4 linked regions of the Drosophila melanogaster genome follow. The protein of the gene in region 1 interacts with the protein of each later gene in a pairwise test. Each region holds a gene or a part of one and is shown in the gene's direction. Other genes may lie near its edges.

Evidence for each region.
Region 2: the proteins of CG9541 (region 1) and synr interact in a two-hybrid assay, tested with the Drosophila melanogaster proteins (one large-scale study listed by BioGRID).
Region 3: the proteins of CG9541 (region 1) and Sec24AB interact in a two-hybrid assay, tested with the Drosophila melanogaster proteins (one large-scale study listed by BioGRID).
Region 4: the proteins of CG9541 (region 1) and CG13625 interact in a two-hybrid assay, tested with the Drosophila melanogaster proteins (one large-scale study listed by BioGRID).

What each region holds. Positions count from the first base shown.
Region 1 is NT_033779.5:8,968,772-8,977,826, reverse strand, and holds CG9541 (uncharacterized protein), read left to right. Parts: upstream 1-2,850; 5' UTR 2,851-2,895; coding exon 2,896-2,917; intron 2,918-4,290; coding exon 4,291-4,602; intron 4,603-4,767; coding exon 4,768-4,910; intron 4,911-5,289; coding exon 5,290-5,472; intron 5,473-5,544; coding exon 5,545-6,047; intron 6,048-6,109; coding exon 6,110-6,326; intron 6,327-6,396; coding exon 6,397-6,561; intron 6,562-6,630; coding exon 6,631-7,026; 3' UTR 7,027-7,307; downstream 7,308-9,055. Other genes in the region: CG18088 (uncharacterized protein), read right to left, coding at 7,801-9,054.
Region 2 is NT_033779.5:4,939,387-4,945,465, forward strand, and holds synr (sayonara), read left to right. Parts: upstream 1-3,355; 5' UTR 3,356-3,465; coding exon 3,466-3,558; intron 3,559-3,624; coding exon 3,625-3,894; intron 3,895-3,961; coding exon 3,962-4,362; intron 4,363-4,416; coding exon 4,417-4,602; intron 4,603-4,661; coding exon 4,662-4,848; 3' UTR 4,849-4,914; downstream 4,915-6,079. Other genes in the region: Sgs1 (salivary gland secretion 1), read left to right, coding at 1-1,980; mRpL24 (mitochondrial ribosomal protein L24), read right to left, coding at 4,915-5,030, 5,089-5,478, 5,541-5,694, 5,806-5,889.
Region 3 is NT_033778.4:9,874,887-9,885,071, reverse strand, and holds Sec24AB (secretory 24AB), read left to right. Parts: upstream 1-2,714; 5' UTR 2,715-2,889; exon of another isoform or gene 2,890-3,676; intron 3,677-3,855; 5' UTR 3,856-3,879; coding exon 3,880-5,376; intron 5,377-5,437; coding exon 5,438-5,564; intron 5,565-5,628; coding exon 5,629-6,128; intron 6,129-6,187; coding exon 6,188-6,413; intron 6,414-6,517; coding exon 6,518-7,140; intron 7,141-7,195; coding exon 7,196-7,428; intron 7,429-7,481; coding exon 7,482-7,579; intron 7,580-7,632; coding exon 7,633-7,771; intron 7,772-7,834; coding exon 7,835-7,946; 3' UTR 7,947-8,840; downstream 8,841-10,185. Other genes in the region: CG1513 (uncharacterized protein), read left to right, coding at 1-109, 171-306, 364-450, 866-987, 1,070-1,175, 1,229-1,315; CG12744 (uncharacterized protein), read right to left, coding at 9,020-9,056, 9,113-9,558.
Region 4 is NT_033777.3:24,580,272-24,587,041, reverse strand, and holds CG13625 (uncharacterized protein), read left to right. Parts: upstream 1-1,881; 5' UTR 1,882-1,961; coding exon 1,962-3,905; 3' UTR 3,906-3,975; downstream 3,976-6,770.

The sequences.
Region 1 (9,055 bases):
ATGCTTAAGAATTCTGATCAAAAATTCAAATAGTTAAAAGTTCGAAAAGGAAAGCATGAATGTACCCAATAGCCATCGGGGTTTTTCAATTCGTTTGACACGCCCGCCTTTGGGAACTTCACAGTTGATAATTAAGAATTTATATCTGACCATATCAGGATGGCTCAAGGTGCATGGGTATCAAAAAAAAAAAAAAAAGAAATTCTAAGCCAATTAGTAGTGTGGCTGGTTGTACGAGATGTGTAAATATTTTACTCAAGCCCCTAATCACCTTTGAATGGCCGCATTAGGCCCAAATAGGCCCTGAAGGACATTCAGTTCAGAGTTAATAAACCGGCAAGGACTGAAGTAATTCTGATTGTGGGGCATCTATTTATAAATGCTCGCTCAGGTGCCAAGAGATTTTCATTGTTAGTTTCATCCAATTATATAAATAGATCAATTCAACTTAACGGAACCCTTGTTTTTTAAACCAAATGAGTTGTGGCTTAAGTTCAAATTATGACAAAATAATTATTTTACATGACGTACTGGTATATATCATCAATATATATCTCACCCTTTTTTTTCGGATGTGCTCAAATAATTTATTGGACAGCACATATAATTCGATTGTTGGTGTTTTCATAATTTCTCATCCTTTCAACGCACTTTACGCCAACAAAGGGTCTCCTTAGCCAGTGTCCTTAATCACAGATGTTCGGTTCGAGTTGCTTAACCCTAAGTTGGCCGCCCCCGTCTGTCATTGTGTACACACGTTGGCCAAAACGCGTAGCCTTAATTAAGCTTGAAAAGGGGATTTAATAGCCAAAGGACCCGCCCAGAGGGCCCAAGGACGAGCACGGGACACGAGCTGCGGCTGTTCCCCAGTTCCACTGCTGTGGTCATTGCAAGGATTTGCCTTACGCATAAGCTGGAAAAGCAAACCCAGAACTGCTGGTCAGGTGTGGGTTCAATGTCAATTGGTTCGTTGGCTGGTGGTTCGTTTTGGTCAATTCGGCTGTTGTTATCTTTGTTGTTGCCGTCCTTGTGTCGACGGCACATGACATGTCACAAATTCCAAGAAATTAGGCGTCGCATCTGTGGTTGTCCATGGATCGATATGAGACCAATTTGATCGATATGAAGTTTCCTTGAGCTTTGAACTTCTTCGAGTGTCCTTGACGGGTCTATTACACCTGTTCCCTCCGTCCAGTGTCAACTTCAAAAAACCCCCAGCGAATCCAATAGAATTTTAATTGAACACATTTTGGAAATTTTGACAGCTGTCCACACATTGCGTCTAGTCCTCCCCCCTCCCTCCCAAAAAAAAGAGGTATCATTGAACTGCAACCAGAAGTAAACTAAATAATTAACGTCAATTAATAGTGTGAAATATTAATTGAAGGCACGCCCACTGCACATCTAACAGCCCAGTGTTCCAATTCCCAACTACTGTATAAGGAATCCAACCCTATGTCACCACTCGCCGCCCCACGGGATTTATCAATTTGGGGCTCTTGTCACTGTGGGTCGCCATGACTGCGCAATTTATCCGCCATCGATGTCATGAAAGTGATTTACAATGAACACATACCCTATGGCAGACTCATAATGGGTGAACACACTTTCGAAACGAACCAAATGACATTTATCATAACTTCAAATTATAAAAAATATTTAATTATTTATTTATTTAAATTTAGAAAATGAATTTTTTTATAACTTACAAGGAAAGCTTTCAATGTTAAAAAATATCTTATATCCAAACTTATATTGTATATAATTTCGATCATTCAGCAATATTTGCTTAAATGCAGAAATCAATTAGTTTAAATCGAAAATCTTAAGTCTTGGAACTGTAACTATTTTTTTGAACCACATAATCTGGGTGTATATAGTCTCTTGACTTGAACAGCTGCAAGTCTAAGGATTTATTTACACCTATGAAAACGGAAGGCTTACCGCCAACAACAAACGGCATAGACGACAGGACACCAGCACGCCAGCACGGAAAACAAAACAAAAAAAACCTGGAAAATGTTTTAAAAACCATGCCACATACGCGAGAGAGCCCGCACATGTGTGTGCAGGATGTATGAGAAACGCACCGCTGGTTCCAGGACACAGGACACTTTGTTTGGAGCGCATAAACAAATGGCGGCCCATGAATGACACAGACATGTGAGGTGGATTTCTGATGGGGGCACATAGGTATTCTAAGGTCGTGCGTGAGACTTCCAATCGGGCAGGACAAGGAAATCCCGACCACCCACGCCAAACTGGAACTGCATTGGTGGTATGAAACTGCTGGAACCGCTGCTCATAAAGTATTCATTAATTGGAATAGTGACCAGGGGAACCGGTGCTCGTAGAGCTAAAAACCGAGCCAGTTGTCAATTCTGAAACTCAGTTTCGTTTCGGACGTTCGTCGAGTTGTACGTGCTCGGTTTGTTGAACTGCACAACCGCTGAACCGCTGAACTGCTGAACTGTGGCACCGTGTAGCGCACTCGGAAATCGAAAATCGGTACACAAATCGGTCGAGTTCGCGGCTAATGCAGGAATCAAAACACTAAAACCGGCAACGTCATGTAGTTCGTTGTGGTGCGTGTTGCCGACGATAAAGCGCGAGAACAAGTATCCCAGAGATACCAATAATAAATGTACACATATTTATAATATATATCGAGCGAATTTCACTCACGGTAGTCATGGACAGTCGAAGTTATAGAATGCAAAACATTTGTGGAATTCTAAACAATTTCCATTGAGAACTGATCCTTCTTCTACTTTTTATTTTCAACGAGATAATCATTTTAAAGTTGCAAGTGTGTGGGCTAGAGTGTGTGTGGGTGGTGTGCGGTAGGGAAAACACTATTGCGAAAATTCAGCTATACTGGCCACCGAATGGATAATGGGTATTTGTTTAGACACAGGTGAGTAATGCCACATGCAGCAGATTTGTAATCAAAGATTAGCATTGCCTCTCCACGGCCAAAGATAACAAAAAGAACCCTAATGAGTCGCGCAGGCGAACACGACAGGTGAAACACGGTATAGAAACTTCATGGGTTTTTGTGACCACGAATTTTCAATGGCAATCAATTAAAGTCGGTCTACATGTATAGAATAGCTTCTAGCTGATCACTGAAAAATATTAACTATTTTGCAGCATACTTTCGGGATACCATTGTTGGTTACATGAACTATATAAATTTAAAAGCAATATAGGAACAGAAATAAAAATTGACTACAAAATGATCCCCATATCATAACGTAACTCTTTTTAGTCTCGGTGACATATTCAATTGACCACAACTCAAAGGACAGTTTCAATTGAAATTACTGCAATCACTTTGCTTGAAATTTATTGAAAGAAAAAACAATTATCTGTGACAAAACGTTGCTTTTATATGTGTACACCTAGCGTTATATCAAAATCGAGACCTTGCCCAACGGTATAATTTGTATCGGAACTTGGACTCTTTTGGCCTCCATGGCTGCCAGGTCCTTGGACATGTTCGTTGACCACCGAAGCTAGTACACATAAATCCTGAAACTAGCGTCACGCACAAAAACAAAAAGAATAGCGATACAAATGGGGAAATCCCCGAGACGAAAAGGGATAGCAACAATAACAAAACATGTCAATTAAATAAAACTGCAGGAAAATCAATAAAAATGTCACAAGGACTGAACTGGTTCCGCGGGTGGGCAGACGTAAAATTTCTATGGGGAAATTTAGAGGGGTATGTGTACGGTATTGAATGCTATGGAATCGCCATGCTGCAGCTGATTTTCCATGAATGAATTCAGCGGTGACGCCATTCTATACTAAACACGGTTGCCATACAATTAAATAATTGTTAAACATGTTTTAATGATGGGCTTTGCGATTTGTTTCGATCCCTAGCTCCCTTCCACCCATCGAGTGCGTGTGGTTTCTGTCACTAATTTCCTACTCCTGGCAAATTGCTTCCGGCCTCGGTGAAGGCTGGCTAATGGCTAATGCCAACTTGGCACGTTATGTCTGCCCTTGCCTTTTTCCGGTCCCCGGTTTCCTTGCGCTAACTTGCCAACACATCCGGTTTCCGGTTTGAAAAATTTCTGCGCTTTTGCCGAAGTCAACTGTTGCTTCTCCATGGGTTTTAAAAACACTTAACTAATGAGATACAGTCCATTAAATTGCCTGTAAAAATCGGAGAATTGGTATATTATTGCTTTCTATTGAATATTTAATTTAAATTCCGTATTTTAGACCGATTACATTTTATTGTAAATTTAAAATAATTTATTTAAATATAATTAGATGCCAGCGCGGCACAAGATACCGGCGAACCAGGCAACGATTGGAATCTTACACGGAATCGAAATGGCCAAAATGCTGGCGATTTGGAGGCCGCTGCGGCGGCAGGACGATTGGGTTCTACCAATGTCGGCGCTATCGATATGCAAAATGCTGGAAAAATCAAATTCGATCCGCCCAAAGTGCCAGTGATATTTGTTTTAGGCGGCCCCGGTAGTGGCAAGGTCACCCATTGCGATACCTTCATGCAGGAGCGACGCGGTGTAACGCACATCAATATGATGGATCTCCTCCAGCAATATGCAATGGGCAATGGTAAGATATCTGTGGTAAATGAAGACAGAAGGTATATACAAGTATGCTATTGAGGAGAGACAGCTGTTGTTGCAATATAAACTACTTTATAATATAGTGCTGCATACTTTTAGACACTTTCGACGTAATCCGTTGCCAATTGTCTATTAAATGATTTGCCCACAGACATGCAAGACTTTTCACAACTGTCGTCGAAAACAGTCACTGAGGTGCTGATGTTGGAAATGAAAATGGCTCCAGCTGCCAAAGCATACCTGATATCGGGATATCCACGCTCCATGCGCGACGTTGTCGAGTATTCTGAAAAGGTAATTTTCCACGCAACCGACTATTTTTCGCTGTCTTCCCCACCAGCTCACCCAATTATTGTGAAGCCATTTTGATTGCCGCACTCTTTATTTGCCCAGTAAATTGCTGCTGAACTATTTCAACTAATTAACTGGCAAATGAGTCGGCGACAGTGTGTTTATTTGGCCATAATTCCCATGGATTTACGGTGACTCCTATATTATATATGCAAGTGCTAATTGGACAGACTGGGTGCAAACGGCACTTGGGGAGTTTCAAGCACATGGCGTTAACTATGGTATATAGACCTACATATTGCATAAGTAGGACATAACAATTTGGAGTCATAAATAAAAATTAATCTTCTTTGATTGGTTTTTTTTTTCTACTTCCTTTCAGATTCAAGTCGTGAATGGCGTGATTCTTATATCCTGGCGCCAATCGGTTCTACAAAAGCAAATCGATTATGGGGCCAAATTAGGTCATGTAGTACTCTCCTTAGCCAAAATGGAATTAGAAAATTTCTTTAAAAATGTGATGCCAGTCGCCGATTATTTCGATCAGAGCGACATGTTGTTGGCCGTAAGTATTTTGTGCATTGCAATAATGATCATATCAATAATATATGTTAATTGCTTTCTTTTTATTTTACAGGTAAATGGCGAACGTGCGCCCACAGAGGTATACAAAGACTTTCGCACCGCCGTCCTCGATATACTGAGCACCCTCGAGAACCAAGAGGCCGTTATGAATGGAGTTACAGGTATGGGCAGAGGGATACATGATATACCCGGCAGTATAGTTAGCGTAGACACCGCACCAAGTCAAGCCCAACAAGGGACTCAAATTGCAGAAGACAACGACGTTACCAATGCCTCGGAAACTGCGGGAACAGTTTTGGCCAGAGATTTGGCGATCGAACGGATGGATGGTGGGCCAAATGGAGCCGTGACAGCTCTGAAAACGGGCACCACCAGTGCGGACGATGACAGCGGTGTTGTGGTCACTCAGCAGCCAAAGTTGCGCCAGGCTGCTGGACCAGACGAATCCGGATCGGATTTGCCACCTATTATATGGGTGATCGGCGGTCCGGGCAGCAACAAGGCCACACTCTGCCTCAAGGCTGTGGGACTAAATCCTGGCTGGGCTCACATCAGGTATGTTGCATTGGATGTGCTCATTATATAATTTTGCTTAAACTGGCATACTACTTTTTAAGTGTCGGTCGTCTTTTGCGCAATATCACGGACTCTGCACCACGTGCCAATACGGAAAGCTTCGCCGTCAAGGAAGCCTTGGCCGCTGGGGATATGGCCCCAGAAAAGTCGCTGAATCAGCTGCTGGAAACCAATCTGCGCCAGTTACGGGATAGAACTGGAATTATCGTAGATGGTTATCCCAGAAACCTGCAGCAAGTCAAGTACTTTGAGAACAAGGTAATCTATATGATGGCTAAATCCCAATTTAAAAGTAACTTTAATTTACTCCCTTTTTTTTATTGCTTAGTATAAACAACGACCGCCTATTATCCTGCTGGATTGCTCAAAACTTCAGTTGGGCCGAGGACGTATAGATGATACGGTTTCCTCCTTTCGCCGTCGCTTGGAACTCTTTCGTGAGCAAACTCTGCCCATGCTCAAGATTCTGGATACCAGTAATCGTTTGCAGATTGTAAGTAACCAAAGAACATTCCGAAAATAATAAATGATTTTTATACAATATATATAAATATATTGACAGGTTGATGGAGACACGGATAGTCCATCAGTGCAGCGCGAATTCGAGCGTCTCATCCGGAATCACATCCAGCGTTTGTTGAACAAAACCGATGATATAGACGACTCAGCCAACTTGGGTAATCAAATGATGCGGAACGAGCAAACGGATGCCATTCTACACGATCTGGAGACCAATGTGCCAGGCGCCGTGCCCACAATTAGTCACCACGTGAGCATGATGAACGGTCATCTGAAAAATCGCGGAAGCGCCGTGGGGAGTGGAAAACCCCACGGTCAGATGATGAACGGACATGTTCCCGGCAGACCCGGAACCGGACCCGTTGGCCAACCTGCACCCGTCGATTTCCGGCACATGCTGGAGGAGGCCGAGCGATATCCGGTCGACTCATATATGTAGATGTAGGCTTAAAGGAATCCGTAGTGCAGACGGATATTCAAGTTTTATATAGTTTTCTAATCAACCTATACTAAGCGTACTGTTAATGCTGATTTGTTGAATTATCGATAGTAGTTCGGGGGACCAATGCGTAAGTTAGTCCGTCTAGATTAAGAGTTAGAAGAATTCAATTCAATACTTTATTTCACTAGACGAGTACCGATTTAGAATAAGAGTGCGTTAGGGGTAGACTTTAGAATGTACGATTTTAATAAAATCACAAGAGTTGAAAGTTGCTCAAGAAATTTATTATAATCCGCTACTTTCTTCGAAAAAAGATCTGGGGGACAATTGACCTTAACCGATTGCGGTGTTGCATTAAATGTTGCGTATCTTGGTTAACAACGTTGACTTCAACAGAGCCAATCTGGTGGATGGGATTTCCTTGCCTTTCCGGACTATTGTGATTGCGCCATTCCAAAAATTATAATCTTTCTTATCTTCATCAAAGTCTCCAGTATCAAATTCGACATAAAATTTGATAAAAGTATTTCAACTAAATACTTTTCTGACGAATGATTGATGTTATTAGTCAACTGATACCAAAAGTTTGGTTAACGAATTCTCTGGAATTTATATAGCACTTCATTCTCCTAAGCTGTCGGTTGGCCCTTAAAATTTTTTATAACTTGTTCATCTGGCTTGGGAATGCTGCTAGCAAAGGAATGCAGTTGAAAACTTATGTAAGGAGTTTTAAACTAAACTTAAACTTTATTTTGTACATAAGAGACTTAATCAGTGGAGGTCACTAAAGCAAATACAATATAGTTTTGCAAGCTTATCATCGATGCATGTGGAGTCTTCCTTGTATGAATTCGTTCTGCTGATTTTCTCCACATTTACTTGAGCATTTTGGGTGGAATTATGGTATACCACTGTGGCCTGGAAGTCAGCACTATTCTGCTTCACTTTAAACTTAATACGATAAACCGCTGTTTCCGATTCCATCAGTGTTTGGTGCCAATCGATGTTAAGACCGGTTTTTATCTCAGTCTTATGCACATAATTTAGCGTCAGATTGCTGCAAAGACTGGTTAAGTTCTTTTGAACGAAATACTCGTTCATTCGATCGATCACACTGTGGGCAATAGGAGTCGTCCAATCTTGTCCCGAGATAATCTTGTAGGGTTCGCAGGTGCACCAGTGCTCCTCAATGCCGGCTTCCGAACACGTTCGACCCTCCGGCAGGGGATAGAATAGCGACTGACAGGTGGGGCAATCGAAGGACTTGGGTAACTCTCGACCATCTGGGGTGCCTCCAATCTCTATGATATGTTTCAGCGTATTGTGAAGATCAAAGTTGGAACTAAGCCTGTGCTGATTCAACTCCAGTGCCCTTACATAAGATGGATATGTTTCACGAAACCACGGGGGCAGATATATAAACATCATGGGCAGCCGCTCCTCCAGAAAGCCCTCCTTCAGATAGGTCAAATCGCCAAATCTGGTTCCGTGGTCGGCGAAAAATATCATTATCATTTCTTCGAATTGCCCATCCGCATGCATATCGATCAAATCTCCCAGCACCTTTTCCTGCATTGCTGATGGCATAAAGGGATCATCGTGACTGAAGTGATTCGACCAAAACATTCCCCAAATTGGTCGATCGTGAACAAAACGCTTCGTGAACTGTAGGCCATAGTCGTAGATATAACGATTCGCTATCCGGCGACCCAAACAGTATCGCATGTAGTCATGTTCCGGCAATCGGTACACATCCATTTCGGACTCCAGTGCTCTAAGCAATGGGCGAAAGTAATAGTCCATCGGCTTTTTGGAAAAGCCGGGCTTTAGGTAGTTGAAATGATTCGAGTTACTCTCGTCCTCCGCGTATCCTGTCAAATAGCTGGCATTCTTGAAATACTTCCATATCATTGGCATCTCGTCCAGGCAGCCCTGTTTATCCGTATCGCAGACATTTTCCTTAGCCGTACTAGCTGAATATCCACTGAGAATAGCGAGTATGTTGGGGAATGAGTTGTCGGCAACC
Region 2 (6,079 bases), 4.0 Mb from region 1:
ACAACAACTTCCACAAGTGGCCCAACGACAACTACTCCTAGATCCACAACAACAACTTCCACAAGTGGCCCAACGACAACTACTCCTAGATCCACAACAACAACTTCCACAAGTGGCCCAACGACAACTACTCCTAGATCCACAACAACAACTTCCACAAGTGGCCCAACGACAACTACTCCTAGATCCACAACAACAACTTCCACAAGTGGCCCAACGACAACTACTCCTAGATCCACAACAACAACTTCCACAAGTGGCCCAACGACAACTACTCCTAGATCCACAACAACAACTTCCACAAGTGGCCCAACGACAACTACTCCTAGATCCACAACAACAACTTCCACAAGTGGCCCAACGACAACTACTCCTAGATCCACAACAACAACTTCCACAAGTGGCCCAACGACAACTACTCCTAGATCCACAACAACAACTTCCACAAGTGGCCCAACGACAACTACTCCTAGATCCACAACAACAACTTCCACAAGTGGCCCAACGACAACTACTCCTAGATCCACAACAACAACTTCCACAAGTGGCCCAACGACAACTACTCCTAGATCCACAACAACAACTTCCACAAGTGGCCCAACGACAACTACTCCTAGATCCACAACAACAACTTCCACAAGTGGCCCAACGACAACTACTCCTAGATCCACAACAACAACTTCCACAAGTGGCCCAACGACAACTACTCCTAGATCCACAACAACAACTTCCACAAGTGGCCCAACGACAACTACTCCTAGATCCACAACAACAACTTCCACAAGTGGCCCAACGACAACTACTCCTAGATCCACAACAACAACTTCCACAAGTGGCCCAACGACAACTACTCCTAGATCCACAACAACAACTTCCACAAGTTGCCCAACGACAACTACTCCTAGATCCACAACAACAACTTGCACAAGTGGCCCAACGACAACTACTCCTAGATCCACAACAACAACTTGCACAAGTTGCCCAACGACAACTACTCCTAGATCCACAACAACAACTTGCACAAGTTGCCCAACGACAACTACTCCTAGATCCACAACAACAACTTGCACAAGTGGCCCAACGACAACTACTCCTAGATCCACAACAAAAACCTCCACTTGTGCCCCAACGACAACTACTCCTAGATCCACAACAACAACTTCCACAAGTCGCCCAACGACAACTACTCCTAGATCCACAACAACAACTACCACAAGTCGCCCAACGACGACTACTCCTAGATCCACAACAACACCTTCCACAAGTCGCCCAACCACAACTACTCCTAGATCCACAACAACTACTTCCACAAGTCGCCCAACGACAACTACTCCTAGATCCACAACAAAAACTTCCACTTGTGCCCCAACGACAACTACTCCTAGATCCACAACAACAACTACCACAAGTCGCCCAACGACAACTACTCCTAGATCCACAACAACAACTACCACAAGTCGCCCAACGACAACTACTCCTAGATCCACAACAACACCTTGCACAAGTCGCCCAACCACAACTACTCCTAGATCCACAACAACAACTACCACAAGTCGCCCAACGACAACTACTCCTAGATCCACAACAACACCTTGTCCAACTACAACACCATCTGCAAGTCCTACAAGAACAACAACAACCCGTCGTCCTTGCCCTTGCCATCCCCAGCCTCCTTACCAGATTCCTCCTTGGTCATGGTGGTATCCGAACCCGACCTACCCCAATCCCGTGTGGCCCTGGCAACCTAACCCAGTCGTTCCTCAATGGCCACAGATGCCCGGATATCCAAATCAGTGGCCACAATTACCAGGTTATCCCCAGCAATTACCACCGCCGTTGCCATCACCTCAGTGGCCGTGGTCTTGGCCAAAACCACCAGTAGTTCAACCTGGCGACTGTGAAAACATATGCGAAAACCTACTGAAGGGAGTAAAATATCAAGAAGATCTCATCAGAAGGTGCTTGTGCACACGAACATAATCCTTTAAAAAAGAATCACGTAATTGTTTTATTAAAATGTTGTCTATTTAAAAAAATAACTTAAAACAAAGTTTTGATGGTTAAAAATATCGAACGGGTATGGTATGGATGTAGGTTTGATGATATTGAATGGCAAGTCTATCCTTCAGAAGTGGGAGGAAGGATTATGGATGTCACAATGGCGCATGCGCCTATATGGTTTTTGGATTCCCATGTTTTGCTTAACACTTTCGTCCCTGAGAAGCTCAGAAAGCTTGGGCGCCATTCATCAACAAGTTTGCATTCGGACTTCAGCACTCTAATCGACACTTGACTACATTATTACTTATTTAAACGCAATCATTTGACCCATTATTTTCCGACGCCTTTGCGTTTGGTTGCACTGCATTGCTCATGCGACATATGGTCGCACTATATGTTTGGAGCACACATTCGGACAAGTTTAATGACCAATTGCCAAGGGATTGGAGAACTCACTGCTCTTCGAATTAGGTTAGCACATTAGCTGGTTAAGGACAAACGTGGATTGAAGTTAGGATGGGGAGAGAAACAGGAAAACTTAACGAGTTCTAGCATATGATAATGTGTACAGCCATAAACTTATAGCTAACATCGTAATCCGTGCACAAGCTATTAAAAACTTCAAGAAGATATGTCCCTAAATTTTTCCAATAGTAATAAATATATAACCAAATTTACTCTCTCTGTAGGGCATACTACAATCCTAATAAGCTATAAACACTCCAGAGCAGAGCCTCTAATTTGCTGGTAATTTATCAAAATCTAGATTATAATCCTGCTGATGGATTATGTTTCGGGTCGATTAGTACCCCAGTTATAGGACTACTAGAGTTCGTCCTTCGTTCAGCTGAGCTTGCACATTTCCTACACAATAAGCAGATGTTAATGGCTCCCTTCTTTGTTGTTTTTGTTAACTTGTTAATACAAATACACCGTGTGCCAATTCACAAATCCAACAAGGTATAGTGGACATGCCAACAAAAAAGCTAGCAAAGCAAATAACACATTGTTGACAAACAGCGGGCTATTGGGGTGAACCTTCAAAAATCTATTGAACAAAAGTATTACTCGTCATATGTATTGTAGCATTTTAATTAAGGAAACATGTATTTTAATCAATATAACTTAAACTTAAAGATAGTAATGGTTGCACATGTCGTATGCGCAATTTTCATGAAGAGTGGTCCGCTCTAAAGGACACATACGTGGTAACAAGGGGGCTACGCTGGCCCCTGTCCCCACCTCCCGAAATGGTTTGTGGGTGGATTTGGTGTGGCCCTGTCCAATGGCTAGCGCGCAAAAATAATTTTTGTTATTGTGTTTTCCCTCATAAGTGGACATGACGGACCCAACGAAAGCTCATTCAGCGCTGGACAGGCGAACTGGAAAGGTCTAAGACGGAAGATGTCATCGCCGGCAGAGCGGGCGAACTTCGTGCAGCACTTCGGACAGACAACCTGAGTGATGGGCTGTGGCTCCTCCATGGATACGCAGACGAATCCTGTCGTCACGGAGGTCAGCTCGGAAATGCAACCTCGCCAGAATGGCGCCTCTGGAGTAATAGCACTTGAACAAGTCGTCTTACCTTTGCCATAATCAATACCTCTTCCATTTCGTCATCAGAATGTGGTCGAGCAATATGTGCGCCTGGACGAGCAGATCAGCAAGCTGGAGGGCACATGTCCTGGTCCTCGAATGGCCACCGCCGAGGCCTGGGTGGAGCACATTCAGAGCAAGCACGAGGCGATGCTGGGACTCGATGGCATGGGAGTGTCTCCTTTGCGCGAGAGGGAATGGGAAACCGAGGAGGCCCTGCCCATTCCAGCTTACACAATGGGGGGGCGGCAGGGCGACCCAATTGTGGCCAACACGCCCACCAAGGACCTGGCCCAGGTAAATGGCCTGCCATTAGTGAATGTGATGAACTTCCCTCAAGTATATTATTACCATTCGACTTTAGCTTGCCTACAACCTGGGCGTAATTGGCGATGCCCGCAAGGCTTCCATGCACGAGGATTTCTTCGCCAACCTGAGCGAGTCCGCCATGTATTTGCTTAGCATTCGTTACTACGGCGAGATGTTGGAACACACTAAGGTGCGTCTAAAGACTCTGGCCGAGAGCTATGCAGAGCTGAACGAGCTGTACGTAAAGCAAGACGGGATTATAGCGTATATAAGCGGGGGAACGTACATGACTCGGCTGGAGGAGAGCATTGATGAGCAGCTTGAGACGGCAAGAGATACAAGGGATAAGCTGGGCAGCGCACTGGAGCAGTGGCGCATCTGTGGATTACTACTTAGAGCAGCCGCGAATTCCTCGACGCAGGCATTAAAACAATGGCGACAGCTTGGACGGATAATGTGGGTAAATTAATTCCCCACTTAGAACTTGTTGACATGTTATTTCTCGTTCAGAGATCCCAAGCAAAAGCTTCAGTGGGCGTTGGACTGTCGAAGTCTGTTACACGCCTCCACGATATCCCTAGAGGCGGCTCAGCTGGCTCTGCCGCACGTGGAACTCAAGTACATGAGTCATCGGCAAGTCCTAGCCGTCAAGCACTGCAACACCTACCTAATCACGGATATAGCAAACAAAGCGCGGTAAGTTAATATATAGATTTCTCTAGAATCTTCTACAAAGGGAAACGAATCCCTTTTAGGTACGAGCACACCAGTCGGGTCTTCACCAGTTACGAATCAAACATGTCCAAAACCTGCACGTGGCTCTACGAAACCTTTAACAGCACGCTGCGCCCAGACTACGACAGGGCGGAGGAAACTGTATGCGGGCTGGCCAAGACGCTCCGGGATCATCGCGAGGAGGTCTTCAACACGGTGCGCAAGTGACATTAAACTTATTGCTCAATTATATGGGTATTTTGTACATTACTTTAATAAACAGTAGGCATAACATTAGTACCAATAGCTCTTGACTGGCGTGCGTTCCTCTTTGATGCCCATTTCCTCCATAATGTCCATCTCGAATGTGGACAACTTGGGCTGAAAGGTGATCTCGCCCACAACAGCGCCTGAAAAGGACAGACTTGTATGACTAGGAACATATTGAAATGCGATAATAGCCCATACCTGGCGTATCCTTCTCCCTTTCGATATAGGCGTTTGGTGTTTTATAATCGTGCGTCTGGTTGTTCGTCTCCGGGATGGGTATGATTCGGCCAGATCGCAAGGACACCCGCACTTTCTCGCCCTCCTCCGTGAAACGCCACTCAAAGTCGGTGCCCTGAAGATCCGATGGGTCAACCAGACGAATGTCCTTGGTGACGTGCAAAGGTGCCTCGGACTTGATAATGATACCGGGAAACTCCTTCTCACCGCCAACCTTGCGATAGTGCCAGTTCAGGCCCTCTACAATTACCCAATTGCGCTCGGGTATAACCTGGGTGACAATTCCCTGCTTTCCTTTGTCTTTACCCACAAGGACTTCGATACGATCGCCGCGGAAAAAGCTCCAGTCCTCTGAAAAGGATATACAACCATGTTTTATTAGGTTTTAGAGGTCAAGGCTTCTTATTCCTTACCAATTGGTTCCACTAGCACCTTGCGACGCACGGTTCCGGGCATATTTTGCTGGCGGAACTGACCCGTCCATGAACGATTTGTGGTGTAGCGGAATCTCTTTCGCTCCACGGTACGCGGTAGGTAATTAATCTCCTTCGGAGTTTGCCAGTACACCTGTGTTGAGATGAAAAAAAATATTTTAATAAATGTGAAACATTTTCCATGCGATGTGTTACGTGAGCCGCTGTTCACAAGTTGTTCAATGAAAAAGACTCTTCCTGTTACCTGTTTTTTGCTGCGCTCGATGTATTCCTTGGGCAGATTGGAAAAGTTCTTCAACTTGCTGGCCAAATATTGCGTTAAACGCATTTTGAAAGGTTAATTCAATTATTAATAATAAGAACTAGTAAATTAAATGCGGCTTGCAATCAGCTGTTGAGAACTGAAGAATAGCCATTCACAGGAAGGCCCAACAATTTTATTTATATTTAATGTTTATGCGACTCTAAAGATTATGAACACTTGATGTAGGCTTGTAAAATATTTAAATTAATTATTT
Region 3 (10,185 bases), on another chromosome or scaffold:
CGAAGTTCTTGGGACTCTCCATTGGAGTTCATAACATTGGTGAGGGTGTTGTGACCCTGGTGGATCGCAGCGAGGAGTACATAGTGACCTTCCCCAACGGCTACGGCAGGTGAGAACGTGTCTGTGGTATTTCCGGTTACAAACAACTGAAGACTATTTCCATTACCAAGGTCTATTCTTACGGTGCCTTGGATTGAGCTCGGCGGTTCGGTGGAGATCAAGTGTCCACAGTCTGGATACTATGCCAACGTGGAGTTCCTCACCAAGCCATTCTATGGCGGCAAACGGAACAGGGTCTCGGCAGAGGTGACTAGCTCTGAATGTGTACATTTGTTTTCTTTTATTAATTCGGATAATCCATAGGTCTATGCGCCGAGCGAAAAGAAGCCTTTCGTCTCTATTACGGGCGAGTGGAGTGGTTTGATGGAGGCCAAGTGGCATGATAAAAACGTAAGTCGTCCAAAATATGTTTGGTTTATGTTTGTAGTGTACTATTATATATTGTTTCTGTAAATGTTGATCCTTTACTTGTACTTTTTCCTCCGCATACTGCGCCAAAACGCTGCAACAAACAACCCCACGAGTTGGCAGCCACATCCACCCTTCACACCCCAACTAGACCTCTACTTACTATCCACGATTCTTCTGCTTTTCTCTTAAATAGCTCGGGAGCATTTCCTCTGTGTGTTTACTTTGTTTGTCTAGAAAATCGAACCCACAAATTAATCCTATGCCTGATTGTCCAACGTTGTATTCAAATTGTTGCTATCTGTACTTATATATGATTGCTGTGTGTTTAATATTACACCCAATCCCAATCAGTTGACCACATAGTGAATCTGAATGAATCTCTTGAATTTTCTAGAAAACCGAAGTATTCGTCGACGTAAATCGCATACCCATATTTAAGAAACAAGTTCGACCAATCGTTGAGCAGGATGAGTACGAATCGCGACGCGTTTGGAAGGAAGTGACAGCGGGACTCAAGTAAACAGCATACCAATTAATTCCTGACCCCCAATTGCGAGTCATGATAAATGTAATCTCTTTGTTCGTTGCTCTTCCACAGGTTCAATGACATCGAGCGCGCTACAACTGCCAAATTCGTTGTGGAGCAACAGCAGCGTGATCAAGCCAAGGTGCGCAAGGAATACGATCTGGCCTGGGAGCACAAGGTACGTCATCCCGATATAGGGTAAAACAGTTAACAGATAATATTCGTTCACAGCACTTTAAGCCCGTGGGCGACAACTGGATCTACGCCAAGCCGCTGAGTCAGCGCATGTATCTGCAGGAGAAGGAGGCCAAGAGATAATGCCTCCGACTGACAACGAGAGCAACAACACCAAAAACGTCTATATATATGGATCATATCAAGAACGAGCCTCAACTATATGTTTAATTCCACAAGTGCGCAAACCTCTCAACACTGACGATACAACGTAACGAATGCAGGAAAAGTTAGAGCAACAACTGAACTGGCAGAAGGAGATCCATGATGGAGGCTCCAGGGTCTGGTTATTAATTGTAAATAATATACACAGAGAAAAAGAAAGGAGTAAAGCTCTGCTCATTAGGTTGGAACGCGAGTCAAGCTCGACAGCTCAGCGGAGACAGAAAAATCAAACACTCACAGTTTCTATACAGAATTAACGATTATTATTTACTACTAAGTACTAGTGTGTTTCAAAGGCAATCGCAGTAAACTGCAACACAATGACACCTATTCAATACCTTTTACATTACTAACATTTACTAACTAGCAACAAAGAAAGAAATCCAATACATAATGGGATATATCAAAAGTTGTAGATTACAAAATGATAGTTACTTAAGGATAATAGAGATTCTATTTTTGAAATAAAAGACTCTGCTATAGACGAAATACAATACCGACACGCTAGTATCCGACAGATACTGCACCCTCGCTTCTTTCCAAGACCACAGGACAGACACACGGACATAGAACACACGGTGCACAATGATTTTCCAGTCGCATAGCTTATAAATCAAATACGATTACCTTTAGTATTATGTTTCGAATTCCACTTGTCACAATAATAACAATAAAGCTTTACCAAGAGTCCGCTGGTGACACACCTTTACACCTTACTGCAATAGAACCCAATTGAAAACCGAACTCCTAGACACGTTGAATAATAGACATTAAATTTAATTTATAACTTTATAACTTACGAGCCAGGAAGCAACACCACCCACACAGCAAATCTACCGACTACTCTCACGCAAAGTTAACGCAAAATGAAACGAATAAAGTAAATACGCTTCGAAATTGATTTAAAGTAATATTTAACGAACTAGTTACCCCGTAGAATAAAAGAATTGTAATCCCAATGGCATTAATTGGAACTTATATCCAAGCCCGGGGAAACTTGTATATATTTTTGCGATTTTCTTTTTAACCAACGTGTTAATTGAGAAATTGAGCTACTCCCAAGCAGATACAAATATTGCAAATAAAGCGATTTGTTCTTTAAGCAGTTTTAATGGATTTTGGATTTCGGGCTTACGAACATTTAAGCTCATATCATTAACAGAGTTATATATAATATACATTGCTTGTCTTCACTTAATAAACATTGCGTTAAGTTTTAAATTTGAATTGTTACAAAAATAATGTTACCATTGGTATCGATAACATTTTATTTGCAATCGATAGGCGACCCAGAGCACTGTCATCTCTTTTTTAAAACCAACGGTCACACTATTGACGTGGCCTCAAAATTTTTTGTTCTCCGGAAAATGCAAAAAGTTTGCATTTAAGTTAATTGTGCATAGCAGCGTACGACGCCAAGTCCAAAGAATCCGCCTGCCAATATAGGACGTGTTCGCATCCATCCGGAGCACGCGAGGAGCGCTTGAAATCGTGTAAGAAAGAAACTAGTGCGGAAGGAAGTTTTGGGAGTGGAGAGAGCGTAGGGAAGTGCGAAAATCGTTTAATTTTCGTTCGCGGAGAAAAATCCAGCCAAGGATTTCACAAAAGACCAGAACAAAGAGTACAACCAGTGGTTTTTACAGCTGCATCCGCCCTTTCCTCACAACGAAAGGCGGAAAAGCTAATTCATAGTCCGCAGCAAAATCGCCAATCAAGGGCGCAAGAAGAAGAGGCAACTACAAAGTGCAAGTGCTGGCCGAGGAACTTCATGCCAATGAAAACTGAAGCTCGGGAAGGTGATAAGTGATTGGTAACCGTGTTATGGGCACTACATATGCCTTGATTGCCCCAATTTCTTTGAGTGGGTGGTGGGCGTGGCGGGTTGACTTCGCCAATAGGCACGTCATCAAAAATTTGCTTTGTTCCGGAGACAAATCCTTTCTCTTCCTGATTGCTTCCACTGCATCTGGGTCACCAATTTAACCGACCCACCTTCTGCGATCATTGATGGCGAGGTCAAGTGCTTGAGGCACGCACACTTACACGTTGTACATCACATAATAACCCATAACGACCTGCTGTCGAAGCTGTTTAAACAGCAAAATATGATATGAAATTATCACCCTATTTCCGACTTACTGTTGACGTAGACACAGTTCTGTAAACACTGAATCAAGACATTTACCTAGGCAGCCAGTCTAGCTTAAAAGTTTGTGATAAAGCTCCAATAACGCAGAATTTCGCATTCCATTCGATCACTGCAAATTCTAAACTGTCTGTAAGCGGGGAAAAGCATCCCGCTTTAAAACTTTACAACTTTTATCAGCCGCACATTGTTTCATGTTACGCGCTTTTTAACATTGAACGATAAGATAATTCCCTGTTTCATGTCGGCAGCAACGCAACCTTCGCTAGTGATAAGATAGCAACTAAACAAAATGTAATTCTTCATCTTTCAGACCACAAACCTATGAATTAGCAGCATGTCGACTTACAATCCGAACTTCGTGCCTCCCGCCCACGCCCCTATGCCACTGAACGGAAACAATTTTGTGAATGGTGTGCAAGGAAGCGTCCAGCAGCAGCCAGGTCCTCCACCTGGTCAGCAGTATATACCACAGAAGCAGCCACAACAGTTCCAGCAACCACCTCCTGCAGCAGCTTTTCCGGGAGCAGGAGCGCCAGGTAATGTGCCACCGCCGCAGCAGTTCAACAGTGGTATTACGAACCAGTTCTTGCCGCCCACGTCAGGAGCAGCTACACCTCTGCAGCAACTGCCGCCCAGCACGCTGCCGCCCCATCTGCGTCCGCCCGCCGCCAACGGACCACCCCTTACGAACGGCAGCAATGGGGCGTCCAGTGCGAACTCTTCGCGCACTGCATCCCCAAGGCCAGTAGGAGCTGCCCCTCAATATGCTCAAGGACCAATCGCTGCAGCGTTGAACAATCCGCCCCTGGCGTCGGGACTGCGTCCTTCGCCCCAACCGACGCACCAATCTCTGGCCAACTTGACGAGCAATCTGGAAAATCTTAACTTGAATACCACTCGAGCAAATGGAGGTACCAGCATTTTGCCACAACCCCAAACCCAGCAACAGTACGCACCCACAGTAACACAAAAGGATGGCAGGGGAGTGGCCTCGGCCCAGACGGGTCCACCGCAGTTCAACGACGCCAACAGTCTGTTGGCGGCCAGCGGAGTGGCCGCTGCACTAGTTCCCAATGCCATGGCGACGCCGTTTAGTGGACAAAAGCCCCCCAATTTGGCTCCAAATCCGGCCAAAATGTTCGGAAGCGCCTCGATGGCCGGTAGACCAACACCAGCGGGGCAACGAATCCCATACGGAGTACCCCCACCAACTAACCCCGAGCAGCAGAGCCAGCAAAACAACAATCTACAGAATGCACCGCCGCCACCAAGAGTAGGAGCGGTATGGCCGCCGAGCTTACCAAATGTAGCGGCGCCGGGAGCCCAGCCCATGATGCCGCCAGCCCAGCAGACACCACAGACGTATCCATACTCCCAGGTTTATCAACCAGGACCACAGCAACAGCCACCACCTCCTCAGTCTGCAGTGCAGCCACCGCCGCCGGGAATGTTCGGAACGCAACCGACTGGAGCTCCACTGCAGTATCAGGCACAGGCGCCTCCTCAGGCTTACGGACAACATCCTCAGCAAGCACCCCAGACTGCACCCGGGGGACCTTATGGAACCACTGCTCCACTAAACGTGGCTCAGCAGGGATTCAGCAGATTGTGGGGACAGGATACTATCGACCTTATGCAGAATCGGCATATCTTAACGCCGGCAACGTTGCCTCCGCCAAAAGTGGTTTTGCACAACCAGTTTCACGAGTCCATAAACTGTAGCCCGAGCATTATGCGCTGTACGCTGACCAAGATTCCCGAGAGCAACTCTCTGCTCCAGAAGTCACGTCTGCCTCTGGGCATTGTGATACATCCCTTCCGTGATGTCAATGTAAGAATTTTATTGAAAATAATTTGATATAAAAGACTTTAACTTGGAATTCCTCACACAGAGCCTCCCTGTTATTCAGTGCATCAACATTGTGCGTTGCCGGCTGTGCCGCACTTACATAAATCCCTTCGTTTACTTCGTGGACAGCAAGATGTGGAAGTGCAATCTGTGTTATCGAGTCAACGAATGTAATTGAAAAGAGTTCCCAGCATATAATGGATTTAGTAATCCAATGTTTCTTTCTTCGTGCAGTGCCAGATGACTTTCAATTTGATCCGGCCACAAAGACATACGGCGACGTAACCCGAAGGCCCGAGGTACGCTCTAGCACCATAGAGTTTATTGCTCCTTCGGAGTACATGTTGCGGCCGCCACAGCCGGCCATGTACCTGTTTCTCTTCGATGTCTCGATAATCGCGCAGCAGAGTGGTTATCTGGAGGCCGCATGCGCCGTACTCAACCGGCACTTAGACGAGATGCCCGGTGATGCGAGGACCCAGGTGGGATTCATTTGCTTCGACAGCTTCGTGCACTTCTACAGCATGGCCGAGGGGCTCAACCAGCCGCACGAAATGACGCTGCTGGACATCGAGGACCCCTTCCTGCCACGTCCTGATAGTTTGCTGGTAAACCTAAAGGAGTGCAAGGAACTGGTGCGTGATCTATTAAAGCAACTGCCTAAGCGGTTTGCCCACACCCACGATCCGGGTTCCGCCTTGGGTGCTGCTCTGCAGGTTGCTTTCAAGCTAATGGTGAGTTGAGCTATTCAAAATTAAAGAGGAACCTTAATCATCGTGAATACTGTATACAGCAAGCGTCCGGCGGACGGATAACCGTCTTTCAATCGTGCCTTCCCAACAAGGGACCCGGAGCCTTGGAGCCGCGCGAAGATCCCAACAACCGCTCGGCAAAGGACGTGGCCCACCTTAACCCGGCAACCGACTTCTACAAGCGCTTTGCCCTAGAGTGCTCCGGCTATCAAATAGCTTGTGACCTCTTCCTGATGAACCAGCAGTACAGCGACATGGCAACCATTTGTAAGTGACTCTTAGTAATGTAAATTCAAACTGCCTTTTTGCATTAAGTTCTCTTACGAGTAATAGAGCACCGTTAACTTATTGGAGTTTCAATTTCCCTATAGCTGGCATTAGCAAACATAGCGGCGGCTGTGTACACCACTTCCCGCTCTACCAGAAGACAAAGCCACACATGGTAGAATCGTTCCGCTCGTGTTTCAAGCGCTATCTTACCAGGAAAATTGGATTTGAGGCGGTAATGCGAATCCGCTGCACTCGTGGCTTGCAGGTGCATACATTCCATGGAAACTTCTTCGTGCGCTCCACGGACCTGCTCTCGTTGCCAAACGTGAATCCGGATGCTGGATATGGCATGCAGATCTCCTACGAGGAGAGCCTCACGGACGCGAAAACGATTTGCTTCCAAGCTGCGCTGCTCTATACGAACAGCGAAGGAGAGCGCCGAATCCGTGTGCACACCGTGTGTTTGCCGGTTACCGCTTCGCTCCCAGAGGTAATGCATTCAGCCGACACGGAAGCTATTATCGGGCTGCTGTCGAAAATGGCGGTTGACCGGTCGGTCGCCTCCAACTTGTCGGACGCCCGCGATGCATTCATAAACGCTACGATCGACGTGTACAATGCCTTCAAGATAGCACAAAATCTGCCATCGGGACAGTCGGGTCAGCTGATAGCGCCGCGCAGCCTGGCGTTGCTCCCGCTCTACATCTTGGCCCTGCTTAAGCACGTGAGTTTTTTGCATATGATCTTAGTTATCACAGCTTATTTCGGTTTTCCACTAGCCCGCTTTCCGTGTGGGAACTAGCACACGACTGGATGATCGGGTCTACGCCATGGATTGCATGAAAACGCTACCGCTGGACCAGCTAATGAAGTACGTGTACCCGGAGCTGTACAAGATCGATGCGTTGATCTACCACGCCCGCAACTCGAACATTAGTTCGAACCAGGATGACGACGAGGACGAGGATGAACCGTTGCCGGAGCTGCCGCGTCTTCAATTGTCCGCGGAACAGTGAGTAGAGTTGATTTATTTTTGACCTTCGATAACGAACGCTTTAACTTCAGCTTGGACTCTCGGTCAATATTTCTGATGGACTGCGGAACGCTGATAATGATCTATGTCGGCCTTAATGTGCCGCCCGATGTTTTGGAAGCTGTTCTGGGTATGATCTTAAAACCCAACCAATTTGTGTTACTAATCTGTTTCTAATTTCAGGCATCAGCTCCACCGCAGAACTGGGTGATTATGTATATGGATTGCCAAATGTTGTGAGCAACGAGAACGATGTGCTGAAGCGTTTTATTTTGCGACTCAACTACGATAAGCCCTACTCGGCGCTGGTGCAGATAATTAGGTAAGTCGGACCACTATTAAAATATTCATAATACCTTGCTAATTATTTTATCTTAAATTAAAGGGACACGAGCACGGCCAAGGGCCAGTTCACCGAGAGATTAACCGACGATCGCAGTGAATCTAGTTTGTCATACTATGAATTTTTGCAACACATTCGGGCTCAGGTTAAATAGTATATAAGCAGGATATCCTACCACTATTGTATGCAGCATAAATACGAGTTTCTAAGAACCTAAAAACTCAGACTCTGGTGACTAGAAGCACGAAGCGAATGCAGGTGACACTGGTGCGAAACAATGGAGACCAGTTCGGGACAGACATACACTTGATACACCTTAACCACCCATCCCCTACCCACTCTCTCGGCTTAGGTAATTTTAAAGTGCATGTATTTATTTATTTGTTGATTTGTTGCACTAAAAATAAAATAAAATAATTGAAGATCATAGTAAATGCGAAAGAGCCAACTTGTCACAACAGAAACTAAGATATCGTTGCCAGTTCGTTTAGGGCGAACATTAGTCAAAAGTTCAGCTAACCAGTCAGTAGAGCTCCCGAAGAAGTGGATGGCTCCGTTATTTATTATAGAAACTATGCAATAAACCAACGAAACTGTTGTACATTATGCTTTAGCTCGATTTTTGTTCGTTCCAACTGCTTCAAACATTCTGCAAACTTCTCAGCCCCACAAATTGTTATCGCTTACCCCAATTGTTTGCTGTTTTCAGTAGTATTTATTTTCCGGAATCCAGAGAAATCTATATTTATTTATAAGTGTAAGGAAAGGCGTTTTGTTGCACTGTAGTTAGCGAACTTATTTCAAACGTATGTACGGATTTGGTATTGTGTATTGCATTCATTGGACTGCTAGGCAGTGAATGTCTTAAGCTTAGAAGGAATATTATACTGTATCAATAAAGAGACCCCATCCCTGTACCTCAGGTGGCGCAGTTGTCGTTCTTTGAGTGGGCTAACTAATCGAAAAACCATATACAAATACTGTACCATACTTTATACACATACGAGTACATCAAGATATAAAGCGAAATAAATTTTAATTAAATCATAAGGCAATGCGTTTTATTTTCATATGTACAGGCACATCTGTTGTTCCCAATATATCCCAATTTAGTTTTGGGAAAGACCTTAATTAAATTAACAATCATTTACAATGGATAGATGATGGCGCATAAGACTCAATAAATCGGTCAGCCCTTCGCAAGACATATCCTGGTTCTATGTTCCTCTACATAAAACAGTTGTCAGCGCCTAGCCAGAGATTCCTGCAAAAATATCAACTTTAATAATGGACAAATATAAATTGGGTATCTGGACTTACGGATTGAAGAAGGGGGAGCGCGGCGGATACTTCCTCTTTGGTGGAGGACACAAGATGGGATCCAGCTTATAATCGTTTGTTGTGTCTAGACTTCTGGGAGAGTAGTGCTGCCAATCTAAGGACTTCTCATCTGGTTGGTAGCCATCGGTCGCGTGCTCAATCTTCACGTGTACCTTGAGATGATCCTGGAGGAGGAATACCTTGTCGCAGAGCTGGCATTGAAAGTGTCCCTCTGTGTTGGGCACATGGGCTTCATGGTATCTTTTATAGTGCTGGTGCAGTTCCAGCGAGGATCGCATCGTGCGCCCGCATATATCGCATGTTTGACCAGTGCTCACAGGCTGCGGAAAGTGGGTGGGGAGGTGTTCGTCCAGCTTCTCAGTGGCATCAAAAGTCTGCTCGCACAGCAGACAGGAAAGTTGCACTTCAGCCAACGCCGTTTCCATTATCTATTTATTTCACATGCAACTTGTTTATTTTTATGTTAGCTTAAGAATATACGAATGGAAACTCTCTATATTTTCAATTCATCAACATATGAACTACTCGCATTACGGTTCCTCGCTCTCGTTCTTTTACTCCGTTATTTACACGTCTTTCTTTTCATTCAACATCCAGTCTATTCGATGCGCACTTAAAAGTCACAAGTGTTCCATTCGGTTACAAGAAATCAACTGTTCTTTTCGTTCTCCTCATACTCATTGTGAAAACAGGAGAGAGCGAAGTGTCATATCAGTGTTGCATGTTTAGCCTCTTTTAGCTATAACAAAAATTAGCTATTGTGGGAAGTGTGAGTTAGGGCAGATATCGATCAGCGCTGGCTCGACAAGTTCTCGAAAAAAGGGCGCAGTCTAAAACAACAGCACACACACTTTTCTTTTGATATGAAATTGGTTCAATTCTGGTGGTACAGTTAGCATAATATTCTTTTCTTTTTAAACCTACCCAGCATTATGTAATCGATTTAGGAGTATTTATAGTAAAACGAATATAAGGCTTGCAACTTAGCCGAAAAATGTGCGATCATATTTAAACCGCTTCCAAATCTGAAAAGAAGAAACGTGAACAATAAA
Region 4 (6,770 bases), on another chromosome or scaffold:
ATGAGTAAAAACAATACACACTATGTACGTATATGTATCAAAAATGTTTGCTATATGAGCGCACGCGGTGTATGCTTCAAAGGTAAGAACATAGTTATTTTAACTAAAATGGTTAAGGAATGGCACTCCGTTAACTTTCGAAAGTCATCGAAAGCGGAATGTGGGCGGTAAGTGCTGTAAGCGCAGACTCAAACCTTTGTAAAGAATTTCGAAAGGAATTTGAATTTATACACAACTATGCGGCGGGACAGAGAGGGCGAGCGAGTGGGAGCGAGACAGCAGCGGCATGGAGAGCACGTTGAAAAAATCAGCTGTTTGTGGGACAGCACCAAAACAGAAACAGAGATGGCAGAAGTAGAGCGCGGCAGACAAAGCAGCGAGAGCGAGAAGGAGACGCGCGTAAGAGCGAGTGCGTCAGAGCGAGAGATAATGAAGATGGCAGGGGGAGGGTAAGGAGGTTAAGCACGCCGTGGGCTTTAAATTTCATGAATGCGAGCGCAAAAAACTGGGCAAAAAGAAATGCGAACAATGCAGAAAAAGGGGTAATGGAGAGAACGCAACCAAAACAACGGAATATAATAAGAGCGCTTTAAAAGCTCAGTTAAGCGAATTAATTTGCATGCCATTCGCGCGTTCTTGCACTCAAAATGTGAATATGTGGGTGCCCCCGACCCTTTGCTTACCAACACCACCGCCCCGCCCCCCCCGCTTCGCTCCTCCACAGCCCTTTTTGACTTTCCCCAACGCTTTTCCTGCCAATTGTTGTTCGTCTCGGGCATTGTTGCTGCGTGCTCTTTGTTTTTGCGCTTCATTTCATTCGTCACTTAAACACCCCTCGTCACTTAGTGCCCCCTACCCCTTCCCCATCAGACCCACTGCCCCCCTGCCGCACAAAATGCAACATCCTGGCAGCCATGTGATGCCAATGCCGATTCCCTATGCCGATTCCACACAAAAAGGCTGCAGTAAGAGCCCTCGAGGACTTTCCACTTAGTCTCCTGAAGAGAACGCGCCACTTCAGAGTTTTCAGGAAGTAAGACAAATAATTGCCGTGGCTCGATTTAATCCGCCATTTAAGCGCATTTAAGCCGCTTATTCGGCTGCTTAGTACTTACGTTTTCTAGGAAACAGAAACATTCACCCGAAGTTAATCCGCCGCCGATAACGCCGCCGCCAGCAAAATAAGGCCGGCGGCCCAATTAACAACGCCCATGCAACACGATAATTAGGTGCAACTTTTCTCTTCTTCGATCACATAACGAAAGTTAAATGTAAATGGGCTTTGGAATTCACAAATTTTTACGAAATTTTCTTTTCTATGCGTTTCCTGCGAAATTTCTCTCAGCGGAAAACACGCTGTGGCGAGTTTGAAGGCTTCACCAGGAATTTGTTGACTTGTCAGTGCGCCTCGAAGTTAGTGATGCGCAGGCGAATGGCCGCAAAAATAATCGCATGAATTTGGGCAAATTGGTAAGCAGAGTGCACTCGTCTATTGATGAGCAGCAGTTTTATTCAGGCAATTAGGTGCATTGAAAACTTCCAAGTGTAAATATTTACCTTAATTCCATAACATAACTGCCTTATCGAATGCTTTTGGTTAACAGTTAGTCACTATGGCGCGCAGAATAATTGATTTAAAAATTTGAAGCGCAATATTACGTTTTAAGAATGTAATGATCAATAAATGGCAAGAAATCAAATCTACATAATAATATATGCTATCATATTGAAGAATGTAATGAAAAACAAGCTTAGTTTATATAATTAATTAAATGACAAGTGCATACACGCTGGCGTTGCCAGACTGCTGCACATTGTTAACTGCGTGCTGTTAAGCGCAGCCTAACAGCACTCAAGCAGTGCGTGGCATTTCGACACATACTATGAACGGTAACATTGAGCACATAAAAAACGTAAACAATTCATTGTAAATTACAATTTCCCGCTTTTATTGCACAAAAATGTCCATGCAAAAGGCCAAAGTCATCGACCAGAAGGAGTACCTCAAGAAGTACCTATCCGGCGACAAGGAGAAGAAGAAGAAAAAGAAGGAGAAGAAGCACAAAAAGAATTCGGCCAACACCAAAGTGAAAATCATCGATGACGACGCCTACGAAAATGATAATCTGGAAATGGACGAAGATCTACTGCTGGGCGGCGAGGATGCGCCTCAAATTGTGGGCGAGTACATCGAAGAGGATCCCAATGTGCGCAGCAAGTGGCGCAACATTGCCGTCAAGGATGAAATCAAAGAAGAGCACGAGGAATCCTCGCCAGCAACTGGCATTCGCATCAAACAGGAGCCCTTGGATGAGGAGCAGGAGATGTGGGGACGCAAGGCGACAGTTGTTAAGGTTAAGGATGAATTCTCACCATCCAGACGAAGTTCACCCGTCAGAATTAAGCAAGAAAAACGCAGCAGCTCTAGGGATTTAAGCCCAGCGAGATCGAGTAAGCCAGCAAAGCGAGAAGAGAGTCCTCAAAGGGGGCGAAGAAGGGCGGGAAGCTCAGATCAGAGTCCCACCAGACGAGGGCGAGATGGCGATCAGTCTCCGCCACGCCAAAAGCACAGGGATTCCGATCAGAGTCCACCCCGAAAGGCCAGGAATGGCAATCAATCGCCAGTCAGAAAAAGGCGGGATTCCGACCAAAGTCCGCCAAGAAAACGAACGGGAAAAGCATCACCCACTCGAAGGAGAAGGGATTCCGATCAATCGCCACCCAGACGCCGCAGAAGTAACTCCGATCAGAGTCCGCCAAGGCGACGTAGAGACAAGGATTCAACTCCGCCCAGAAGGAGGAAAGATTCCGATCAAAGCCCACCTCGAAGGCGTAAAGCAGACGATCAATCTCCGGTGCGAAGGGAAAGGAAAGACTCCGACCAAAGTCCGCCTAGGAAACGGAGAGACAATGACCAGTCTCCAGTGCGAAGGAGGCGGGATTCAGATCAAAGCCCGCCCCGAAGACGCAGAGATGACAAGCAAACGCCGCCAAGGAGGAGAAGAAACTCCGATCAAAGCCCGCCAAGAAGACCCAAGGATGTAGATCAATCGCCACCGCGAAGAAAACGAGACTTCGACCAAAGTCCAACCAGAAAACGAGACAAATCACCACGCAGACGTCACGACTCCGACCAAAGCCCGGCCAGAAATCACAGAAGTCGAGAGCGCAGTCCACCGCCTCGTAATCGCTTCAAGGAAGAAAGGAAAAGTCGCTGGGCCAAGGCATCGCCCAGCAAATCAGCATCTCCACCTCCGACACACAAGCCGAAATCCACCAAGACACTAGATGGCAAGAAAGCTGGACTGCAGGATGCGAAATCGCTGAAGAAGGAAACCGACGAAAGGCGTCGACAAGAACATGAACTATTCGAGAAAATGTCCAGCGAAATTTCCGGTCGTGATGGCGATGTGCAGGTGCGCAGTACTCGCAGAAAGGGACACCGAGCACGAGATGCCGCCAATGAGGATCCCGCCGAGCAGGGCCGCAAAGAGGAGCACGAGAAAAAGAAGAAGGAACTGTACGATCGCTGGGGCAAGGGGTTGAAGCAAATAGAAGATCACAAGTCCCGCCTGGAGGAGATGGTCCATGAGGCCTCCAAACCGGTGGCTCGCTATGCCAACGACGAGGATCTGGACAGGCATCTGCGCGAACAGGAGCACGCCGACGACCCGATGCTGGAGTACATGCGCCAGAAGCGCAAGAAACGCGACCAGCAGGACAACAAGCCGGTGATGCCCAAGTACGAGGGCAGCTTTCCGGAGAACCGATTTGGCATCCGACCAGGATATCGCTGGGATGGCGTCGATCGATCCAACGGCTACGAGCAGCGTTGGTTCGACAAACAGAACGAACGGCGGGCCGTGCAGGATGAGGCCTACAAGTACAGCGTGGAGGATATGTGAATGTTGCAAGCGTTGTTTGCTTTCGTGTTGCAATAAAGATGTAGGCACTGCCTGTAAAAAAGAAAAGAGCAATTACATTGATCGTTTTCTTTGTTTTATTGAATTATTTTGGAAAATAAAGAATGTAAATAGGTAATATAATATTTAATATTTATTTACAAAAATTTGATTTTCGAAATGCCCGCCACTTTCCCGCCAAATCGACGTGCCACCTGCAACACTGGTCGCCAGCGCAATGCAACCCTGTGTGTAGAATAGCGGAGCAAAAGCGAATGGTAAATAGTCTTCATCTACACCTGCGACCTGCTCGTCGCTCCCAAAAAATCGTTTCAAAACCACGGAATAAACCGTGTAACTGGGGAAAACCCATTGTAATTATCAAGTTTAAAGTGTGCCGCACATTTTGGCTTCAAAACCAGAATAGGTAAGTGACATCATCTGCTAAATAGAAGCATTCTAAGATTTTTGCTTTGTAAGCAATAGAGTATCGATGTGTGTGTGTGTATGTAAATGGTTCTGCTTTTGGTTGCTTTGTTGCTGCTTTCGTTACAGCGAACAAAGCGTAAGCAACTGTATATGTGTATCGAGTGGGACGCCAGTGGTGTGTGTTTGTTGCCCCGCCCCCAATAATTAGCATAAAACTCTCTTAACCACAACAAAAACACCACAGTCGTGTTGGTTTGTGCATTTGTGGATTGGGATTTCGGTGGTTTTCCTTTTTTTTTCAGCTGCTTTGCCTGCCCTTCGCCTTCAGCCGCAATTGTCGGTCAGCCGATGAAAAACCAGTTTGTTTGTTTGTTGGCTTGTAGCTGCTGCTGCTGCGGCTGATTGTTGTGATTTTGTTGTTGCTGCTGGTGCTGCTGCACTGCAATTTGCTTGGCGCAAAATTGGCGCCAAAAGCTTTTCAGCTGCAGAAACGTGTGGAAATGTTGAAATGTGTACGTACCATTCCAATCAGGCATTTGGCGCATGCACGCGCCTGTCGCTCGCTGCAGCTTCCATCTCGCTCGCTCGCGGCGGGATGCAAATACCGCAATCAGCTTTCGTTCTATCTCTTTCCCGTTGACACACATACACACTTCCGCACATCGCATTCATTCATGACACTGCTATTTACTCCCCCTCTCTCTCCCCTGCCCCTCTACGTTCTTCTTTTCGATTCCTTGTGTGCCATTTCGTGGTCTGCTTTTATTTCGCTTCATTTTGAATTAATTGCACTTCGTTAGATTATTATTTTTGCACTCTAACAAAGAGCCGTTCGTTTGGATGTTACTTTGTGTGCAAATGAAGATTTAGCCAATTTACACAATCGTAAATTTAATTTGCGTTAGTGTATGTAAATCCATAATTTTCAGTTTCTATTTCCTTTTAGCAATCAAGTGCTAATTTGATCAATTATGCGCCTTTGATAAATAAATAAATAATGCAGTAAATTTATTTGTTTGATATTCTCTTTAATGTTGTAATTGTGCACTTTTCATACATATTATACTCCTTTGTTCTTAAAAATGCATAAAGTGAAGGTGGTTTTAAATTATGCTATAGACTTTGATTTTTTTAAAAGGTATTGACTAATTGAGTTTTTTAAACTTCAAGTTTACTCATTTTAAATGCATGAAAAACAGTTCTTTATAAGTTTAACTAGTTTTTAGTTATTTGTTGTTAACGGCAGATATTACACGCAATGGACATCGCAAAGATGCTAATTCTTTATTTCCCTAAGATAAGGGTAAAAATATCAAATATCTGTTTCTGAAAGTTTGCCTATTTTGCTTTTGAGCATGAAAACTTTCTTCAACTTTTCTTGGGCACTTTGTGTTTTTGAATGTTCTTTGCATCAGACAGGCTAAGATCAGTGCTTGGCCTTCTTCGACACATGGCCCTCTTAACCCCCCCAAAAAAAGGGGGAGAACCATAAACTGATGGCGCAGACACCCCAAGGAAACCTTCGCTGGTCCAAAAGCAACCCCCAGAGCAAGCTCAACCCTTGTCCTTGGCCCTTCCTTGTGCATTTCCTTGGCTTTTTCCTCGCGAATGGGGTGCTTCCAAGGACCCAGTGACATGACATTGTAATGGCTTAGAAATTTACACGCATCCCATGCTGAGTACGTGTGTTCCAAGCACCCCTTACAATCCACAGATTGATCCTCCCCCTTGGTCTTTGCTCGGAAATTGAGGGGTTGGTTTGTGTCATGCACTGTCAAAAATATTTATTAAATTACCAATATCTGAAACTCTAAATAAATTTCCCAATAGATGTAAAATCAGCACAAGAAATTTGCTATTTTCAAACGCCTTTTTTATCATAACTTGGCTAAAAATGTACTCACATTACAACATTTGATAGTTTTGTGCAGCTTATTATCCCAACTAACGATCTATATCACTTTTTTGTTCATATTTGGAATTTCAAAATTTTATGAATTTTGGATTTTTTGCAAGGGGTAACATCATAAAATTTTGAAAAAAATTTAACAAAAAAAAAAATTTTCAAATTTAAATGCCAATTGATTTAGAATTTTATAACGAGTTTTTTGAGATATGGCATTCCATATTGTGGCTGTTTTTTATAAAATTATGACGAAAAAACGAACTATTATGTGCGGAAAATTAGGCTAAAAAATTATTGCAAAATTTCATATTTACGAATACCACAAATATTGACTATTTGATTTTGATATATTTGAAATATTATTTATTACTGTTTATGTATGTACCAAATTGTTTGCAGTGTAGAATTTTGGCACAGTGATTCGGGTTCTTTAAAGCGTTTTTTAATTCCTTCACATGCTGGAACAACATAGGGCAAAGTTATTCAAATTCCTTTTGTTCGAAATCCTGTTGAATGGCAAAGGGAATTTCAAT